Linked DNA regions of Saccharomyces cerevisiae S288C. The protein of the gene in region 1 purifies or fractionates together with the protein of each later gene. This does not show direct contact. Each region holds a gene or a part of one and is shown on either strand. Other genes may lie near its edges. The genes, in order: MAF1 and RPC82.

What was found.
Region 2: the proteins of MAF1 (region 1) and RPC82 purify together in Saccharomyces cerevisiae (affinity purification with western blotting; 7 studies listed by BioGRID, with this or other methods). This does not show direct contact.

What each region holds. Positions count from the first base shown.
Region 1 is NC_001136.10:456,153-460,080, forward strand, and holds MAF1 (RNA polymerase III-inhibiting protein MAF1), read right to left. Parts: upstream 1,952-3,928; coding exon 1,946-1,951; intron 1,866-1,945; coding exon 684-1,865; downstream 1-683. Other genes in the region: putative DNA-dependent ATPase RAD57, read left to right, coding at 1-431; SOK1 (Sok1p), read right to left, coding at 2,390-3,928. UniProt on the Saccharomyces cerevisiae protein: Mediator of diverse signals that repress RNA polymerase III transcription. Inhibits the de novo assembly of TFIIIB onto DNA.
Region 2 is NC_001148.4:917,106-921,033, reverse strand, and holds the start of RPC82 (DNA-directed RNA polymerase III subunit C82), read left to right. Parts: upstream 1-1,992; coding exon 1,993-3,928. Other genes in the region: QCR2 (ubiquinol--cytochrome-c reductase subunit 2), read right to left, coding at 547-1,653. UniProt on the Saccharomyces cerevisiae protein: DNA-dependent RNA polymerase catalyzes the transcription of DNA into RNA using the four ribonucleoside triphosphates as substrates. Specific core component of RNA polymerase III which synthesizes small RNAs, such as 5S rRNA and tRNAs.

The DNA.
Region 1 (3,928 bases):
GAGCAAGTTCCAATAACGATGAAATTCTATCAGACGATGAAGATTATATGCTAATCGAGAGAGTTATGAGCACTGTAAATGACCGGAATTATGATTTTTTTTCAAAAAAGAAACCACCCATAATTGAGAATAAAACCGTTGAGCGAAATTCATCAAGTCCTATCAGTCGACAAAGTAAGAAACGGAAATTTGACTATCGTGTCCCCAATCTCGGTTTGACTTGGTCCAATCACGTTTCAACACGAATATTACTTCAAAAATCTTTCAAGGCTTCAACAATAATTCAAAGAGGTGAAGCTCATCTTTATAAGGGAGGTGATTCGGCAAGCTTCTGGCAAGTTAAGAGGACAATGAAAGTGGTATATTCCACATTCGCTAAGCCTGGTCAAATTGCATATCAAATTACTAAGCGAGGAATAGAAACAGCCTGATTGAAGTTCCGTATTCGAAAGAAACTAAGAGCTTTGCAGTAATATATGATGAAGGCAGTCTTTTTATATAGTAGCGCACATTATTCAATCCTCGCTAAAGTGTTCAATTAGTAAATATAATATTGTCATAAAGGTACATAGTTGAAAAGGGTATTTTTTTAAAAATAGAAACTTACAATAGTAGACATAAAGGGACTGTTTTTAACGATTATAGGTGTAAGACAAGGAAAATTCACAAATTAAAGTTTAAAACTACTGTAGGGATTCTTCTTGATCTGATTTATCATCTATTACATTCTCATCATAAGTGAAATCGTATTCTCCTTCGTATTCATTTGAGCCATCATCTATTATAAGCTTTCCCTGAGGTTTTTTTGCCAAGGCATCTTCCACTTCGCCTGTACTCGAATTTAGACGCGAGCAAATCAAGTAAAGGTAAGCCACTCTTTTCCTTTTCCTGTTGTAAAGAAAACCTATAAGATTCCAAAGATAGCCAGGCTCATCTTCCAAAAAAGAGTTTGAAGGTGAATATTGAAAAAGGACGCAATCAGAAAGAGTCATGTGAGAATTAATTACCTCCCAGACCCATTCCTCTGGTTGTCTACCAAGAGAATATAAGGTGTTTTCAAATTTGGAAATAAAAGTTTTCAATGATGTTTTGACAAAATCCGTTGGCTCAACCGATGAAAAATCATGGTCAGGATAAGAAGCGTTGAGGATAGCAATCAGATAAGCAAATATTTTGCGGCTTGACGGTTCGTTTATGGGACCAAACGGACCCAAACTTAAATTGCTTGGCCTTTCGTTTATCGAAGATTTTCTTCTTTTGTTAACATTGTTGGTTGCTGTACCAGAACTGTAATTATTGTTCGATGATTTACCACTTTTGAAACTGCTAATACTGCTACTGCTCCTTCTTCTTATCCTCTCATCATTCTTAGAAGAAGAATCAAGAGACGATGAGCTCATAGAGCCAGAATCGTAATTCGAGACTAATTCTTTTAAATTTTGGTCATTTAGCTTGGCACTTTTGGGAAAAGTTGCTGGAGAAGAACCATTAGGTCCAGAATAGTTATTGTTATTACTGCTATTGCCATTACTGTTGTTAGTGTTATTATTGCTATTGTATTCACTAAAAGATATTCTTCTCTTTTGCTCCCAAAAAGAGTTGCTATCCCTCCTATTAGAATAAAATGGCGACGAGCAGGGTGATTGGTTTGTTTCGGGAGCAGCTAGCTGTTGCTGAAGGGTAGCATTGTAATTCTCATTTTCCTGTAAAATAGTATCCAAATGCTGATCAATAGTTTTATATAATTTTCTATCTGATGCAACCGCCTTTGTTGTGAAAATATCGCAACTGCCCACGATTTTACAGTCATTTGTCTCGAAATTGAGAGTTTGATTCACTCTCTCTATATCTAGCTCATCAATAAACTAAGGAAGAAAAGGAGGGTTCAGGTACAATGTTAGTAATTTCGAATAAAGAGCATGGCAGTTTTAGAGTGATAACATACTTTCATTGTCGTGATTCTTTAGGCAAAAAAATCCGTTTGGAGTAATGAGCGGTTAAACTTGTTCTTGGTGAAGTGTGCAGAGTTTCTAAACTTTAAGTAAATGACACTAAGCCTATATTTTTCGCATTGCTAAAGAAACACTGATACATAATGTGTCTACATTTTATATAGCTGATAGCACGTTCTTTTTAAGTTGAATTATCTTTTTTTTCTCTTGTTAAATAAGATGGACAACGCGCTTTCGCTGGCGAGATGAAGCGCCCCTGATTGACAAGCAACTCGTGGAGGCAAGTAATTAGCGACGCTTTACTTTGTCTGATAGCAGTAAATATGTGACTGCATTTAAGAAGTGAAATTATAAGAAATGTACGCTTTAAAAATGATATATGAAGTTACATAAAGAAATGGTAAAAAAATTTTTTTTTCCTCCATTACCGATAATAGTTATATTCCTTTTTTATTAACTTTATCTCCTAACATTTCGATATAATGAGGACCGAATACGGACCAATGAAGGTTGATTAATGCATATAAGTGGCGATAAACATTCTCGAATTCCTCCAGCTCTGTTGCTGCGAATAAACCTCTGGATGCAATCGCATTGCCAGTAGGTGTGGTGGTGGAGGTTTTAGAAGGAGACATCAAAGACGGGCTGATTTTAACGCTAGCAGTATCTGTAGTAGTACTCAAAGTGTTAGTGCTACCTACGTTGCCATTGTTTGTGTTGTAGAGGTACACAAAGTCTTGTTTAACGCGTCCATCAATTGTGCACTCGGACCTGTTGAAGATAGCGTCCTCTAGTGATTTGAATACTCTATTTTCTAGGACACCATAAACTTCACTGAGGGGTTGAGTTTGCTTAGATAACCAAGATTTAGCAAAGGTTATTTTTGAGTTGTCTAATGAAGGCAATTGAGGCCTTCTGGCTTGTTCACAACTACCATTGTTGTCGTACTCCCTGTGAAGATCGTCAATAACTTTGCAAAGATGAACAGCAATAGACATTGTGTTTTTAGTCCACCTACAATTGCCGTGTTCATCTGTTATAATGCTGATAATTTCATTCTTCAGCCTTTTAGTTGAGTATGTATGAATAACATATTCCTTTGTAGCTTTATCCATTGAAGGATCGTTGGCCACCAATTGTTGGAAAAGTAAACGGCAAACTAAAATACAAACAATTTGACGTATATCGGCACGCAAAAGGATCAATCTTGCATGATCAAAAGAAAGCGGAGTTGGGTACTCTCTCACCATCTTCCTACATGACAATAGGTTAATTATACTTCTAATGCAAATATTGTAGACATCAGGGATAGTGATAGAACTTGGATTTCTAACAAGGCCAGCGGTAACATTTTCGTTGAATTTTTTATCAAACCAAAGTAGGGAAGTATTTAAATTCACCCTTTTAGAGGCTATAAGAGTGTTGAAATACTGTTTCTCAAATTCTACAGCATTACTTAACAGAGCTGGCCTTAGTATTCTTATTTGATGATTGGCAATATCCAATTTCATTGTTTCCAAAATTTGAAAAACCAACCTTAAACCTTCTATTAACCTTGTTAAAGAAGAGTCTCTTTCAGCTTCTTTAAATTTGTTGCTCATTTTATCCACCCATGGGTCCCTCATGGGGGCACAATGATGTTTAAATAAATCAGCCAACCAGCCTGACAAGTTAGACATTATCAGAGAACCTTTCAATAGTTCTTGAATGTTCAATTCTGTGTCCAGTACATTATTTATCATCGGAGACTCTTTTTGTGGGACTATCGTTAACAATACATCCCTTAAAGTGTCAAAAAGTGGGACTAGTCTTGACCTGTTATATTGGAATATTTCAGGCCTCTTAGAGTAAACATAAATTTCATTTTGAACATCATTCCAATAGATATTCGCCAATTGTCTTTTTTTATTCCCTCTTTCGCCATCAAGATTTGGCCTGAATTGTAGTAGCGGGTCGAATATTATATCATGTCTTAG
Region 2 (3,928 bases), on another chromosome or scaffold:
CTAGCTGGGAGATCTCCGCCTACGGTGCTTTTGCGGTGATGTTCGGCGGAGTGCATCGCGCATAAGCAAACAACCGTTTATTTCAGCCTTGCGTGCTTGAAAATACAGGACCGTTAAATATGTAGATATGTACGCAGAGGCGTGTAAGCCACACAGCATTGTTGTTGCGTAAAAATGAGGGTGAATCGCCTCCTCAAATTACATGCCTTTCTTTTTTTGCCAGGATCGTGAGATGAGACATAAAATAACGTACCACTGAAACTTGACAGAATTGAGGGGTCTAACTATAAACCTGCGGCAAAAGAAGGATTGTATGCTGAAGTAGAAAAAAGGATAATTAAATATATATTTACTAGTATAGTAAGAATTTGGAAAGGGTAAGGAATAAATAATGAGGGATTTTTTTTTGGTCTTACATGTTGTTATTTGAATTTTGTTTGTTTTTATTTTCAATATTTGTGTGAATATTCATTAAAAAAAAGGTGCGCGGCAACATCTATATATATATTTGCCTTTAGTTTTTCGTTTTGTACAAATACTTTCCTCTTACAATTCGTCCAAATATGGCAAGTTGGAAACATCACCGACGGCTACATAGTTGAATTTTCCCAACTTAAAGTCCTTCACGGCGTCAAAATTTAGTTCAATTGGGCTGGAAACAGATTCATTTTGGACGGCATTCTTTAACTTTGTGTAATTTATTGCAGGGGATAAGTCCTTGCCCTTCTTCAAATCCGCAACAATTTTCTTGATGTTGGAAGATACCACGGCGCTGTCCTGGTCTCTTACAAACAGAGTAAATAGGCCGCCGTCAGTGAATTTATCAAGTTTAGCCGAGCTGATTAAACCGGAAAGCTCGGATAGGGCAGAGGTCAAATAGTTGGCCAATACTTCATATTGAGCTAGGGAGGCTTTGTTTACCGGGATACCAATGGCGGCAACGGAGTCACCGATAAACCTTACCCTGTTTTCTTCACCCAAAAAGAATTTTGGTTCGGATTTACTCACCAATGACTTACCTGCAGGCAAAGTGCTTAACAGTGACTCGTCAACAAATCTTTTCAAATCGGCCTCAACAACATTTTCACCGCTAACTTCAAGGTTCTCCTTGGTATAGACTTTGTCCGCAAAGTCCTTGATATCTTGCAAACTGACTCTTTCCACACCATCGTATAACAATGGGTTTCCTAAACCCTTTCTGAATGTAATGGCATACAATTGGTCTTCGGCGCTCTTTACCGGACATTGTTCAGCGACCGCATAATCGTATCTAGCAGCAGGCAAAACAGATTCGGTGAGCTCGTGAGGTTTGAAGGCAGTCTTGTATAGCACGTCTGCTAGGGCATTGACGTAGTAGGGAAGGTCGTCCTTCAAAAAGGTAGCTTTCAAAGTGATGTATTCCCTATCCAAGGTAGACTTAAAAGTTCCCCCTAATAATTCGGATTCTCTGACTAATTTCAAAGCTGATCTAGTGTTCGTGTTTTGAAAGTTGAATCTGTTTAAAAGATGGGCCACACCATCCTTGGTTGCATAACGAGACCCTCCATGGACCTTAACAGCCAATGTAGATATTTTAGTAGGTGCGTCTCTAGCGGAAACGGTCAACCTTCTAACTGACCCCTGGGCAAATTGCAATCTAGCTGCTGACAACATCAACGTTCTTCTTTTTTCCTTTTAATAATTTTAACTCTCCCGTCCTAATCGTTCGAGCACACTGCTGTTAAAAACCTTATTAACTTCTAAAACTTCGTCAGCAAACGCTCTGAGGAAAGGCCCTTGTTCTTTATATATATATTTGGTAGGCTAACGGATATAAGACGGGGCGGGCCTTCTATTGGTTCGTTGGGAATGATCAGAAATTTTTCAAAAGCTCATCGCATTGAAGGAAAAAAATAATTTTGGATCAAAATAATAATAGTGGAAGAAATATTGAGAACAATAGAGAATTGCTGACACAGGAATAGGGAAAAATTTTTGTTGAGCAAGATCCAAATGGACGAGTTACTGGGAGAAGCGCTTAGTGCAGAGAACCAAACAGGTGAGAGCACTGTCGAATCTGAGAAGTTGGTCACCCCCGAAGATGTTATGACCATATCATCCTTGGAACAGAGAACCTTGAATCCCGATTTGTTTCTTTACAAAGAGTTGGTGAAGGCACATCTGGGTGAAAGAGCAGCTTCTGTAATTGGGATGTTGGTTGCGCTGGGCAGATTGAGTGTGCGCGAGTTAGTGGAGAAAATAGATGGTATGGATGTAGACAGCGTCAAGACGACACTAGTCTCATTAACTCAATTAAGGTGTGTTAAGTACCTGCAAGAAACAGCAATATCCGGGAAAAAAACGACTTATTATTACTATAACGAGGAAGGGATACACATTTTACTCTACTCAGGGTTGATTATTGACGAAATTATTACGCAAATGCGTGTAAACGACGAAGAGGAGCATAAACAGCTGGTGGCTGAAATTGTACAAAACGTTATATCATTAGGGTCCTTAACAGTGGAAGATTATCTAAGTAGTGTCACGTCAGATTCCATGAAGTACACCATTTCATCACTATTCGTGCAACTGTGTGAAATGGGATATCTTATTCAAATATCAAAATTGCATTATACCCCAATCGAAGATCTCTGGCAATTTTTATATGAAAAACATTACAAAAATATTCCCAGAAACTCCCCGTTGTCCGATTTGAAGAAAAGATCCCAAGCCAAGATGAATGCGAAAACTGATTTTGCCAAAATCATAAATAAACCAAATGAGCTTTCACAAATCTTAACGGTTGATCCAAAGACCTCATTGAGGATTGTTAAACCTACAGTCTCTCTGACGATTAATTTGGATAGATTTATGAAAGGTAGAAGATCTAAACAATTGATTAACTTGGCCAAGACAAGAGTCGGCTCCGTCACAGCTCAAGTTTACAAAATTGCATTAAGACTCACAGAGCAAAAGTCTCCTAAAATTAGAGATCCACTAACTCAAACTGGGCTTTTACAAGATTTGGAGGAAGCAAAATCGTTTCAAGACGAAGCCGAACTTGTTGAGGAGAAGACACCAGGGCTTACCTTTAATGCTATTGACTTGGCAAGACATCTCCCCGCAGAATTGGACTTGCGTGGAAGCTTATTATCTAGAAAGCCCTCTGACAATAAAAAGCGTTCTGGCTCAAACGCTGCTGCATCATTACCCAGTAAAAAATTAAAAACCGAAGATGGATTTGTGATCCCGGCGCTACCTGCTGCTGTTTCCAAATCTCTTCAAGAAAGTGGAGATACACAAGAAGAAGACGAAGAGGAGGAGGATTTGGATGCAGACACTGAGGATCCTCACTCAGCTTCTTTGATAAATAGTCATTTAAAAATCCTAGCATCATCAAATTTCCCCTTTTTGAACGAAACCAAACCAGGTGTTTACTATGTTCCATATAGCAAACTAATGCCAGTATTAAAGTCATCTGTTTATGAGTATGTTATCGCGTCTACGTTGGGACCCTCAGCAATGCGTTTAAGCCGTTGTATTCGTGATAACAAGCTGGTGTCTGAGAAAATTATCAACTCAACTGCGTTAATGAAGGAAAAGGATATAAGATCTACATTAGCATCTTTAATTAGATACAATTCTGTGGAAATCCAGGAAGTTCCAAGAACAGCCGATAGATCAGCATCAAGGGCAGTTTTTTTGTTTAGATGCAAAGAAACGCATTCCTATAATTTCATGAGACAAAACTTGGAATGGAATATGGCAAATTTACTTTTTAAAAAGGAGAAATTAAAGCAAGAAAACTCTACATTATTAAAAAAGGCAAATAGAGATGATGTTAAAGGAAGAGAGAACGAACTACTATTACCAAGCGAATTGAATCAATTAAAGATGGTCAATGAAAGAGAGCTAAATGTTTTCGCTCGTTTATCGAGGTTGCTAT